Linked DNA regions of Sus scrofa. The protein of the gene in region 1 purifies or fractionates together with the protein of each later gene. This does not show direct contact. Links are inferred from orthologs where the notes say so. Each region holds a gene or a part of one and is shown in the gene's direction. Other genes may lie near its edges.

What was found.
Region 2: the proteins of PTPN12 (region 1) and PSTPIP2 purify together in Homo sapiens (affinity purification with mass spectrometry; 4 studies listed by BioGRID and IntAct, counting the BioPlex papers as one, with this or other methods). This does not show direct contact. The link is inferred for Sus scrofa from reciprocal best matches to the Homo sapiens genes PTPN12 and PSTPIP2.
Region 3: the proteins of PTPN12 (region 1) and VAPA purify together in Homo sapiens (affinity purification with mass spectrometry; 3 studies listed by BioGRID and IntAct, counting the BioPlex papers as one, with this or other methods). This does not show direct contact. The link is inferred for Sus scrofa from reciprocal best matches to the Homo sapiens genes PTPN12 and VAPA.

Annotation. Positions count from the first base shown.
Region 1 is NC_010451.4:102,511,319-102,516,186, reverse strand, and holds part of PTPN12 (tyrosine-protein phosphatase non-receptor type 12), read left to right. Parts: intron 1-2,922; coding exon 2,923-2,982; intron 2,983-3,651; coding exon 3,652-3,794; intron 3,795-4,868. UniProt on the Homo sapiens protein: Dephosphorylates a range of proteins, and thereby regulates cellular signaling cascades. Dephosphorylates cellular tyrosine kinases, such as ERBB2 and PTK2B/PYK2, and thereby regulates signaling via ERBB2 and PTK2B/PYK2.
Region 2 is NC_010443.5:95,653,989-95,658,856, reverse strand, and holds part of PSTPIP2 (proline-serine-threonine phosphatase-interacting protein 2), read left to right. Parts: intron 1-996; coding exon 997-1,031; intron 1,032-3,245; coding exon 3,246-3,352; intron 3,353-4,868. UniProt on the Homo sapiens protein: Binds to F-actin. May be involved in regulation of the actin cytoskeleton.
Region 3 is NC_010448.4:98,210,996-98,214,582, reverse strand, and holds the end of VAPA (vesicle-associated membrane protein-associated protein A), read left to right. Parts: intron 1-1,228; coding exon 1,229-1,387; 3' UTR 1,388-2,248; downstream 2,249-3,587. UniProt on the Homo sapiens protein: Endoplasmic reticulum (ER)-anchored protein that mediates the formation of contact sites between the ER and endosomes via interaction with FFAT motif-containing proteins such as STARD3 or WDR44.

The DNA of each region.
Region 1 (4,868 bases):
AGATGAAAGCAGTCTTCTAGAAAATTCTCTCTTACTTGGAGGAGGCTGGTCCTTTGTTTTATTCATACCTTAACTGATTGGATGAGGGGCAGCTACATTAGAGAGAGCAGTCTGGTCTACTCAAAGCCCACTGATCTAAATGTTAATCACACCTCAAAACTCCCTCAGGAATATCAAGAATAATCTATGACCAAGTCTCTGAGCACACCATGGCCCAGCCACATTACATATAAAATTAATCTTCACATTCCCCATTTCAGAATTGCTTGTTTTTGACCTTGTTTTCCATAGTTAAATGAGATATAATTTCTATAATTTTATTTTTCATTGGTTAATTCAAGAAATCTAACTGTATGATTTATTTGTACTTATGTCCCCTGAATTCCTGATGTGTATCCTAAATTTAGTGTTTTCTAGGTTGATGTAGAAAAGGACTAAAATTGTGTTACACAGACTCCTTTTAAATGCAGTCTCATTTTTGTAATGTTAACTGTAATTCATAGTAAACTGCCTGGATTTAATATGCAGTCAGTACTCTAAAATCCTGGTTATAATTAATTGTTTGTTGATTAAATATAAAAATTTTAAAAATCATAAAACATTTCATATTATTTGGAATGAATAAAAACTAATACATAACTATATTGTATTTCTGTGAGGAAACACCTTCTGCCTTACCAATTCAGAAAGTGTTCTACAATATTAAGTTCTTAGTCCAGGAAGCCTAGTTCTGTGCAGTGTGGTTGTGTTGAACATTTGTAAATTTAAATGTAATAAGATAATTATACTGAATGTCACAATTCAAGTGACAACATATAGTGCTTATAATAGTAAACAACAAAACAACTTGAAATTTTTGAACAGTTGGGGATCAGGAATAGTAAACAACTGAATAGAAAAAGTAAGCAATAGTTTATAGTTTGGAAAAAGATGAATTGGCTTTTTTGTTGGCTTTTTTTCTTTTACTTTTTAGCTGCAGCATACGGAAGTTCCCAGGCTAGGGGTCGAATTGGAGCTGTAGCCGCTGGCCTACTCCACAGCCACAGCAATGCCAAATTTGAGCTGCATCTGCAACCTACACCACAGCTCACAGCAACACCAGATCCTTAACCCACTGAGAAAGGCCAGGAATCGAACTCGCATCCTCATGGATACTAGTCAGGTTTGTTACCACTGAGCCATGATGGGAACTCCTGGTTGACTTTTTAATTGCGCTAAAAGGTAATTTTAAGAAGTCCTCCGGTATTGCCACAGCTGTAGTGTAGGTTGCAGCTGCAGCTCAGATTCAGTCCCTGGCCCAGGAACTTCTATGTGCCGCGAGTGTGGCCATAATATTTTTTTTAATTAAAAAAAAAAGTCCTCTTAATAAGTTTGATTTGATTAGTAACAGCTGGTTTGATTTGTCAATGTTGGGACTGATGTATGCTGAGAAGCAAAATTTTTCTTTCAGGGTTTCAAAATGGGAAGTAATTGTCTTGTTGTTTCAGACAAGTCAGTATTTGTTATCACTGATAAAAGCAAAAATCTTTTTTTTTTTTTTAGGGCCACGCCCAAGGCATACAGAGGTTCCCAGGCTGGGGTCAAATCAGAGCTGTAGCTACCAGCCTGACCACAGCCACAAAAACGCCATATCTAAGTGGTGTCTGTGACCTACACCACAGCTCATCCTTAACCCACTGAGTGAGGCCAGGGATCAAACCTGCGTCCTCATGGATGCTAGTCAGATTCATTTCCATTAAGCCACAATAGGAACTCCCAAAAACCAAATTTGTAAATAGAAAGCAAGTTATTAAAAATAACCGAAGTAAGTGACTTGACTCTACTTGGCAGTCAGAGTGTTTGAGACTGAGAGAGGACACTAGTCAGGAGCTCTCTCAGTTTAAGGATGAGAAGTGGGGGAAAGTGTTGGTGAAAGGTAGGGGACTGGCCAGCAGGAGCTGAGAAGTATGTTGCTGCATATATCCACTCAGACCAAATTATCAGCACAATATCCTTGGGTTTGTCTAGCCCACTACCTGTTCTGTGAGTAAAGTTTTAGTGGAGTACAACCACATCCATTAATTTACATATTTGTGAAAACAACAGCAAAGTTGAGCAAACAGACTTTATAATAAAGCCCACAAAAACAAAAATCTCTATCTCACCTTTTATAGGTGAGGAAAGGTTAAGTCCAATGTTTTCATCCATACTCCAATTCGATGAATATAAAAACATACTTTCCCCTTTTTATTATTTAAAAAGTTCAAAATAAACTACTATAGTTTAAAAAAATTAAAGGAGTAATACTGAATTTTTTATTAATAAAGCAGCATACCTTATTGCTCTTGACAATCACTGTGTAGACTATTTGTAATTTTAATTAAAAAGGCAAAGAGAATAGTTTGCTTAGTGAGAAACTGATACAGAGGCTTCATTCCAATACATTAACAGATGACAGTAAGAGACTTTTAACATGGTTATGTTGTCATCAATCAGAATGATAATTTGGGATTTTCCGAATGCATCCTTTTCCTTCCCCAGTTGGCATCCAGTTAATTCATAGTTGAATTTTAATAAGGCTTTATGGAAAGATAAAATGGTTGAAGATGTTTATAGGTCCTAAGAAGTGACATTTTGTGTGTAGGTGATAATCTGTTACATGATTCTGGGGATGGCTGTTACTTTGCAGATATTTTATTAGATGATAGACTCCTAGCTAAGTAATTGATTAACAGATACTTCTGCTTAAAAAAAAAAGTTCCAAGTAGAACTTAGATAAACAAATTGATGACTTTCAGAATGGTTGTTTTTATAATTATCAGGCACACCTGGAATTTTAAAGGTTAATTTTATATTGTGAACTTTAAATATGAGGTTATTGTTTGTTTTGGTGTGTATGTTTTTGTTTTATGTTCTTAATAACAAGTGTTTCTCTTTACTTAGGAAGCTGAACAGGCAAGAACTGACTACTTCATTAGGACACTATTACTTGAATTTCAGAATGTAAGTATTTTCCAATGAGAGGTTATTTCTAAGGATAGTTTTTAAAGAGAAGATATATAAATAGTATACTATCTTACATAGTTAAGGAGATTTGTTTTTTTAGTTATATAAAACAATGAAAATCAGATATAATACATTATTTAGTATCTTGAGCCTTATGTTTATCAATTAAAGTAATAAATATTCTATTAGCCTTCTAATTACAATAGATTCTAACAGTGCTTATGGTGTATTGCTCATCCATTTAATACTCTAGACTAATTAAATAGTATATGTAGTGTAATAGTTAAAGTACAAGTTTTGGAGGTAAGACTGCCAGCTTTTAGATCCCTCATCTGCCACTTGCTTTGAAACAGTTTGCAAATTACTCTTTCTGTCTCAATTTCCTTACCCATAAAATGAGGATAGTATTAATGATACCGTCCCCGTGGTGTTAAATGGGGATTAAGTAAATTGTTACATGTGAAGCCCTTAGATCAATACTTGGTATGTGATAAGTAGTCTATAAATGTAGGCTATTTTTTTGTTTGTTTGTTTGTTTGTTTTTTTAAGGTGCTAAATACAGTATACATATCTTAGAAATGGCAGTAAGGTGAGATGTACAGCTTTTCTATATGCTTTAGAATTTGCACCTGTGTTTTCATAATTATTGAATTTCTATTCTTGAAGGAATCTCGTAGGCTTTATCAATTTCATTATGTCAACTGGCCAGACCATGATGTTCCCTCATCATTTGATTCTATTCTGGATATGATAAGCTTAATGAGGAAATACCAGGAACATGAAGATGTGCCTATTTGTATTCATTGCAGGTACAAAAGAATCTTCTAAATTTTTTTTTTTTTTTTTGTCTTTTTGTCTTTTTGCCATTTCTTGGGCCGCTCCCGTGGCATATGGAGGTTCCCAGGCTAGGGGTCGAATCAGAGCTGTAGCCACCAGCCTACGCCAGAGCCACAGCAACGCTGGATCCAAGCCGCGTCGGCAACTTACACCACAGCTCACGGCAACGCCGGATCTTAACCCACTGAGCAAGGGCAGGGACCGAACCCGCAACCTCATGGTTCCTAGTCGGATTCGTTAACCACTGTGCCATGACGGGAACTCCCCTAAATATTGTAATAATTTGGAATAGAGGTGACATTATAATATGGGTAATATTTGGTATTTTGAAACCTGTTTCCTATCTAAGGAATTTCTTAGATCATTATATGGATTTCCAAATAATAAAAGCTTTGAATCCTGGGGCAATTTTTCTTCTCTTAATTTTTATTTTATATTAGATTCTTCTAGAAGACTTAAAATTGTGGTGCTGTGGAAATGAATCTGACTAGTATATTTGAGGGTGCGGGTTCGATCCTTGGCCTCACCCAGTGGGTTAAGGATCCAGCATTGCCGTGAGCTGTGGTGTAGGTCACAGACGCAGCTCAGATCTGGCGGGGCTGTGGCTGCAGGGTAGGCCAGCTGCTGTAGCTCCGATTAGACCCCTAGCCAGGGAACTTCCATATGCCACAGGTGTGGCCCTAAAAAGCCAAAGGAAAAAAAAAATACCATAATGCTTCATAAAACTGCAATCTATCTTTTTAAGTGACATGTCTGCATTCGCATTTGTTGCAAAAAGTAAATGAATGTCTTAGACTTCAATTTACTGGTTAATTAAATAGTTAAAAGATATTAGTGAAGATGTAACACCAAAGATAGTTTTCTTAGCCAGTTGGTTGGATTGTGATGTCTATATTAGTGAAGTGAAAGGGCTGCTTTTTATTTATGGGCCGGAGAGGTGACTTGCTTATTGAGATGTGGGAATCAGTAAAAACCTGGTTAATTAAAAAATGTTTTCTGTAGTTAATTCAGTGGTTAGTTGACTTTTTAATTAAGTAGTTAACTGG
Region 2 (4,868 bases), on another chromosome or scaffold:
AGGATACAGAAGAGGCTTGGATCTGGCATTGCTGAGTCTATGGCATAGGCTGGTGGCTACAGCTCTGATTCGCCCCCTGGCCTGGTAACCTCCATATGCTGCGGGTGCATCCCTCAAAAGACAAAAGACCAAAAATAAATAAATAAATAAATAAATAAATAAATAAAAAAGACTCTCCAGTCTGTCTTGCACCACCAAATCATCAATATGTGACACAGTGCCTGGCCAATACTTTATGTGCAATAAGTATGTGATGATTGATGAATGGATGAAAAAGGAGGTGACCAGGAGCCAGAGTTTGAATCCTCCCTTTATTTGCTTGTATCCATATTTCTAATTACCATTCTTTAAAAAATGACTAGTATTCTAATGAGAAAGGGACCGCAACTCCTATATTATCATTGGGGGAAATGAAACACAAAGAATTTGGGTATCTGGCTCCACCCAGGTGGACAGGGAAACATTTATGATTCTTGTGCTTGGACTGAGAGAGTAACAAAGAGGACACTGAGGAATTCCCGTCGTGGCGCAGTGGTTAACGAATCCAACTAGGAGCCATGAGGTTGCGGGTTCGATCTCTGGCCTTGCTCAGTGGGTTGACGATGATGTTGCCATGAGCTGTGGTGTAGGTCAGAGATGTGGCTCGGATATGGAGTTGCTGTGGCTGTGGTATAGGCCGGCAGCTACAGCTCTGATTAGACCCCTAGCCTGGGAACCTCCATATACCGAAGGAGCAGCCCCTAGAAAAAAGGCAAAAAGACAAAAAAAAAAAAAAAAAGAGGAAACTGAAGACGCCCGATCTTTTGCTGTCTTCTCAGGCTCATGGGCAAAGATTAGACCATAGGCTCTGGGAGAGAGAAGATGTGGGTAGAGAGAAGCATGAGATTTAGAGATGGAAAGAACCTTGGAATCGTCTCATGAGAAATAGGATCGAATTATACCAAGATTGTATAGACAATTTCCAGAACTGAAATTATATATGTGCTTGTTTTTTAGCACCCTGAAGCGGGCCCTTGAAGTCTTCAAGCAACGTAAGTGATTCTTTAAAAATATATTTATTGTCCTTGGCAAGCTCTCTGTGTGTGTGTGTGCGTCTGTCATTAATTCGAACAGCAATCTTGGAGTTCGTGTCATGGTGCAGCAGAAACGAATCCAACTAGGAACCATGAGGTTGTGGGTTTGATCCCTGCCTTTGCTCAGTGGGTTAAGGACCTGGTGTTGCTGTGAGCTGTGATGTAGGTTGCAGACTCGGCTCAGATCTGGCGTCGCTGTGGCTGTGGTGTAGGCTGGCAGCTATAGCTCTGATTTGACCCCTGGCCTGGAAGCCTCCATATGCTGTGGATGCAGCCCTAAAAAGACCAAAAAAAAAAAAAAAAATTGAACAGCAATCTCATAATGGATGAAAAAAAAAAAAATGAGAGCAGCTCCTAAGGTGAAGGCTAGCTTTGCAGAATTGAAATGGGCTGGAGAACCATTCCCATTTGCACATCATCATGAGCATTTGACTTACTTGGGGCAGTGCTTCTCAGACTGGAAATCCAGGGAGAGGCCCTGGCATTGGTCTTCAAGGGGTCCTGTCCAGTTCCAGTGTTCTCCAAGCTGGTGCCTTTAAGCCATTCTGTTCTTGGTGCTTCCAAGCTAAGGACTTTATGTGGCACAGTATGTGCTTGAAGTGTTTCTGTAGCTAGTTGAATGGTTCTGGACATCGTTCTGTTTCAGTTCTTACTGATCTGCCTCAATTTGGTTTATTCTACCAAATGCCACATTTCTTCTGGAAAGGTTGTACTGATTTCTTCCCCACCAGCAGTACTTTTTCCCCACACTTGAAAGTACCAAGAATTTTTGCACTTTAAAAATTTTGCCAAACTGAAAGGTAAAATGTGATACATTTCTGGGATTTATTTAAAGTGTCTTTTTTTTTTTTTTTTTAAGGGCTGCACTGGTGGCAGATGGAGGTTCCCAGGCTAGGGGTCCAATTGGAGCTGTAGCTGCTGGCTTACGCCAGAGCCACAGCAGTGCGGGATCTGACCTGTGTCTGAGACCTACACCACAGCTCATGGCAACACCAGATCCTTAACCCACTGAGTGAGGCCAGGGATCGTACCCATGTCCTCATGGATGCTAGTCGGGTTCGTTAGCCTCTGAGCTGTGACGGAAACTCCCATTTCTGTGTTTTAAAGTTTTGGTTTTTTTCAATCGTTTTAAGGTTGAACACTTTTTCAAATGTTTAGTGGCAATTTAGACAATTTAAAAAAATTTCATGTTCTGTAACCAATTTTAAAATACTAAATATGCATTTCTTTTGATTTCTGAAAGCTCTTTTAATACAGCTATTTGCTCTTGGTTACATAAATTGCAAATATTTTTTTTCTAGTTTCTCATGTGTCTTGTAACATTATTCAAAGTTATTTTGACAAACACAAGTTGGAAATTTTTTCTTAGGTCAGCTCACTCAGTCTTTCTAGCTATAACATCATCCTTATTTGTTTTCTTAGAAAAAGAACAATAAAAATTTCAGTTTTTCTAGTAGAAAAGTAAGCCATGATCATTGCAGAGATCTTAAAAAATAAGAGGAAAAATACCAATAAGCTTTCTATTCAGAGATAAAAATTTTTTCTTTTTTCTTTTCAGGGCTGCCCTCTAGGCATATGGAGGTTCCCAGGCTAGGGGTCTAATCGGAGCTACAGCTGCTGGCCTACACCACAGCCACAGCAAGGCCAGATCTGAGCTGCGTCTGAGACCTACACCACAGCTCATGGCAATGCCAGATCCTTAAGCCACTGAGCAAGGGCAGGGGTGGAACCCGAAATCTCATGGTTCCTAGTTGGATTCGCTTCCACTGCATCACGATGGGAACTCCTAGGGTAAATTTCTTACAGGCTCATGAGATGTTAGAAATGGAAAGAACCTTAGAATCATCTAATGAGACACAGGATCGAATTTGAGATTGTGGTGTGTTTAGTAATGTGTCCTGTCATGCAAGCTCCATGAACTTCTCCCCGGCCCTGGGCATACACTAGGTTAGTAGCAGTTAGTGGTAGGAAGCTAAGCTAAAGGTTTGCCAACTTGGTCTTGGCCAGGACAATGCTGGTCACATAAAGGGGCTCAATAAATGCTAGTGACCAAATGAGGTAGGTTAACTTTACCACTTGCTTCAGTATTTGGTATATTTAATTTTTGTATAGTCTTGTATATTTGAATTTGGACATGTATAGATCTTGTTTCCTTTTTAATTCTTTTTGCAGAAGTAGACAATGTGGCCCAAAGTCACATTCAGCTCGCACAGACTCTAAGAGAAGAGGCCAGGAAGATGGAAGAATTCAGGGAAAAGCAAAAGTTACAACGGAAAAAGGTTGGGTTTGCATATTAGGATGTTGCCTTTCTTCCAGCAGAAAATGCCAGGGTTTTATTAAGTAAACTCCTTGGCTCAGCTCCCATCTACAAATGACCATGCTCTTCTTTTAACCTGCGAGATTATTTACTGGGAACCATGTGGGCCCTGAGTCTAGACAGTTATGCCTTTGTGCCCAATTACATGCTAGTCTAGTTCTTTTTATTTATTTTTTAAATTGAAGTATAGCTGATTTACAATGTTGTGTTAATTTCTTGTGTCTAGCAAAGTGATTCATATATATGTGTGTGTGTTACTTTGCACATTCTTTTATTTTTATTTTATTTTTTTTAATCTTTTGTCTTTTTAGGGCTGCACCTAGGTCATATGGAGGTTCTCAGGCTAGGGGTCGAATCGGAGCTGCAGCTGCCAGCTTACAGCACAGCCATAGCAATGCCAGATCTAAGCCTCATCTGTGACCTACATCACGGCTCACGGCAATGCTGGATCCTTAACCCACTGAGAGAGGCCAGGGATCAAATCCGCAACCTCATGTTTCCTAGTCAGATTCATTTCCCCTGTGCCAAGACAGGAACTCACATATTCTTTTCAATTATAGGTTATTATTAAGATACTGAATATTGTACCCTGTGCTATACAGTAGAACCATGTTGTTTATCTATTAGGCCAGTCCTTTCCTTTTCTTTTCTTCTCTTTTTTCTTTTCTTTTCTTTTCTTTTTTGGCTGCACCATGGCACACAGAAGTTCTTGGGCCAGGGATTGAACTCATGCCACAGTAGTGACTTGAGCCATAGCAGTGACAGCACTGATCCATCAATCACTAGGCCACCAGGGAACTCCTAGGCAAATCCTTGTTGCAGGAGTCAGGGGTTCAGCCTGCTTTCCTGTTCTTTTCATCTCTGCTGCCACTGTTGAAACCATGGCTGGAAAGGGTAACCCTTCTATCCTCATTAGGGTCTAGCACTTCCATGGTGGTGGGCTCTCAGACCACTCCTGGACCAAGCAGTAAGGGAGGGTGAGAAGTAGAGGGGACTTGCATTCTCCCTGGAGACTGTAATGTGGTTCATCTGCCTTGTTTTACAAATAGGGAAACTGAGGCCCAGGGTAATTAAAGTCTTTTTGGATTCAAAGCACATGTGCACAAGCTCTTCTTCATGGATGGGATTTACTCTGGCCAGTTAAATGGAAGGAGATGGGGATGAGAAGGAGTTAATAAAACTGGAAAACATTTGGGAAGTTATAAAGATCAAGAAAAGAAGTCCAGATTTATATTAAAGTGCTCCTTAGGCTAGACCAGCCACTGTTCTGACTCCCTTCTCTTTTGTTCCTTGAAGACTTGTATATTCAGGCTGCCCTGGCAGCGAGGTAGGGCTCTTCTAGAACTTCTTTTCTTTTTTTTTCTTCCCCTGGTTTTTAGAGCTGCACCTGCAGCATATGGAAGTTCCTAGGCTAGCGGTCAAACTGGAGCTGCAGCTGCTGACCTACGCCACAGTCACAGCAGCAGAGGATCCAAGCC
Region 3 (3,587 bases), on another chromosome or scaffold:
ACCCCCCCCCCAAGACCTAGTGAGTCAGAGTCCCCAGGAGTGTCAAGTTCTTTCTGAGACTTAGAGTCACCATTCTCTCTACATAGGACTAGTTAGAGCAACACCACAAACCCACAACCCTCAGGACACCCAGTCATGCAAATGGAACAGTATGGTGTCAGGTGGACTCTTTGAGTTGGAATTAGTAAACACTCTGGATGAATTAGTGTGAAAAGTAAAAATGAGCTCGCACCAAGGAGGTGAAAATCTGCCCTGCTGGTCATCAGGTTGGGATGACCAGCCGATGCCTGCTGCCTAGTAAACAGTTGTCAGTCCCTGTTGCCCCCTCCCTGAGGTCCTCCTTTAGCCTCCTGCTTTGAGGGACTGCTCTTTTCTTATGAGGAGCCTTGTCCCTAAGCTTATAGGCTGTCAGTAGTTCTGCCAGGGGGACTGAAGCCGTGAGAGCCAAGCAGCTGCTCGTCTGGAGGAACACAGTCACTTTGAGTCCCGTCCAGGTGTGGGGCCTCAGATGTGATTCTGTACACAGCATCCCTCATCTGTTGTACTTGTAGTTGCCATTAACAAAGGATTTTGCATTTGCTCTGCAGTCCAGACCCTGTGCCGACCTCCTGCTTTGCATGGGGCACGTCAGAACACTACGTTTAAATATTGTCCTGAACTTCCCCCTTCTCCCAAACCCTTTCAGGTCCTATCTGTCCCCTGAACCTCTGCTGTGCGAGTGCCCTAACTCAGACTATCTGACCTAACTTTGTTTCTGGTAGTCTGTGGCTCAGGGCTAGGACAGGTGTAAGCAATGTCAAGCTACTGTGGGCCACTGGGAAATAACTGCATGCAGAGAATTCTTCAGTTGTGTTCATTTTAGTAGGATTTTTCCTTCTATGTAAATGTAACTGTAGCTGATATTTCAGTTTTTTGGGAGTATATTTCTTAGCTCCAGTTTTAAAAATCAGCATTATTGAGGTGTAATTTATATTCCATAAGGACACCTGTTGTGAGTATACAGCTCTGATTTTTAGTAAATTTATAGAATTGCACAGCCATCCCTGGAGCCCCCTTTTAGAACGTTTCTGTCCCCCTAGAAAGTTTTATTAGGCCAGCTAGCGGCTCATCCCTGTTGTCACCAAGCTGCATGCATCCTACTTTGCTTCCTTGTCTGTTCATTTGTAGCTCAGTCCTCTTATGCATATTCGTTTTTAAAACCTTTCTTTGTGCATATATTTTTTCCTAGGATGAAGGCTTAAGGCTCAGAAAGGTAGCACATTCGGAAAAACCTGGATCCACCTCAGCCGCGTCCTTCAGAGATAATGTCACCAGCCCTCTTCCTTCACTCCTTGTTGTAATTGCAGCCATTTTCATTGGATTCTTTCTAGGAAAATTCATCTTGTAGAGTGAAGCATGCAGAGTGCTATTTCTTTTTTTTTCTCCCGACCAGAAAAAGATTTGTTTACCTACCATCTCACTGGTAGTGTGGCCCACGGTGACCATTCTTTGTGTGTACAGCGTCATGTAGGCCTCGCCTTTAAAGGTCTCACGGTTAGAAATCAGTAAGAGCAGAGTGTTCGGCGCCTGGACAGAGTGTACGTGGCCAGACCATCACTAGCAGGTGTCAGTTGCACATTCAGTCCTTTATGAAATTCATAAATAAAAAATTGTTCTTTCTTTGTGGTTTTAATAAGAGTTCAAGAATTGTTCAGAGTCTTGTAAATGTTATTTTAATAATCCCTTTAAATTTTATCTGTTGCTGTTACCTCTTGAAATATGATTTATTTAGATTGCTAATCCCACTCATTCAGGAAATGCCAAGAGGTATTCTGTGGGGAAATGGTGCCTCTTACAGTGTAAATTTTCTCCTTTACCTTTGCTAATATCATGGCAGAATTTTTCTTATCCCTCGTGAGGCAGTTGTTGACTGAGTTTTTCACCCTTACAATCCTGTCCCATGGTATTTAACATAAAAATAATAAAACCGTTAACAGATTCTTGCTCGATAGCTTGTGTGTGTCTGTCATGTCATTAGATGGGATACCAGGGCGTGCGCTGTGGTGATTTGGGTTATAAAATGTGTAATTTATCTCACACTGAACCCTTTCATATATTACAGTATTTGCGGGGAAGAGTCCTCATTGTTTTAAGCAAAGGAATTGATAACATTTCAGGCCGCTTTTGGCATTTTGGAAGATCAAAATCCATTTGTCTTCGAGATAATATAAAATAAGCAATGAGAATAAAAGTGCTGTGATTTCAGTCAGTTTACGTGTCTGCTGCATGGCTCTGTTGTGTTTATTTTACTCTAGTCTTCATAGGTTCTTTCAGTATCTTCTCAAGAAAGCCTAATAATGCTTCTTGGTTCTAGTCACTGCTTTTTGACCAGCCTAATAATTCCTTTTATTTTAGAACATTTCATTGTAATAGTTAAAAGTGGTTTTTTTCCCTGTCCAGTTTGATACTCAAAAGTAAGTTTCCATTATGGAAATTTGTTATGACTTGAGCCTTGGGAATTCCTTTGTGAAAAATGACCCTATCCTTGCCCCTGTCAACCGTGTGGTATGTTTTCAGTGTAAATGCAACATTATGGGGTCTGGTGTACTTTCCTGCAATTAGTCTTTTATTTGGTTAATCTGTGCCAGCATAGAAAATTTTGGAACCAGAGAAGATAGAGTCACTTTTTCTGCTAAGTACAATGTAATATAAGTGAATTTTGATTTTTGAAAATTGGTGTTGGTTTTGTAAAAGATGCACTTACATCTGAAAAGGAAGTTGGCCTTGGGAACTGGATGTGGTGCAGAGAAGTGTGTTGGCCCCAGGTCTGTGGTGAAGGAGTGAGCTGTTTGGAGTTCTGGGTTGTATTTTCATCTCAGGTATATTTTGAACTTGTCAGAGCTGTGTATTGTGTCACTGTCTCTGTGATGTCTTTCCAAAGCTCTGGCTTGTGTGTGCACAGTCTTCCGTGCAGCTTACCCCCCATGACTGGACTGCATACCAGCAGAAGCCCGTTTCCGTCCTGCCAGTGCCACCGGTGATTCCTTGCCTTAAAGCCCTCTGTGTAACCAGTATTATTGGTGATGAGAATCAGAATGAGCTTTCATAGCTATTGGGTTTTTTTTTAACTTATGTTCTCAGAAATTTAGCAAAACCCCATTTTATGGGAATGCTTCTTAGAGTTCATTTTGTTCAGCCCCTTTGCTTTATAGTTGAGGAGTCTGAGGCCTTTGAAAGAGTTAACTTTGTGTCTCACAGGCAGATAGAGGCAGAGCTGGACCTGGAAGCCTGACTCTTTGCTTTGTTTCTTTTTTCTGTTAACTTTGTAGAAAAAAACATGTGCCCTAACTTGATATGACTGAAATAGTGACCATAAGATGCTATTTAATAAGTGTGTGTGTGACAGGTATCATATCAGAAGATTGTACTGCAGACTGCTGTTGAATAGTCTCATGTGCATGTCTGGTTTTAGTGTTTCAGCTAGAAATCCCCACTCCCAATTGGTGGTAAGTAAACATTGGGAAATACAGTGTATTTTTAGGTAGGCATTTTAATTTTTTTTTTATTAAAGTATAGTTGATAGCATTCTGCAGTGAGGCATTTTACAG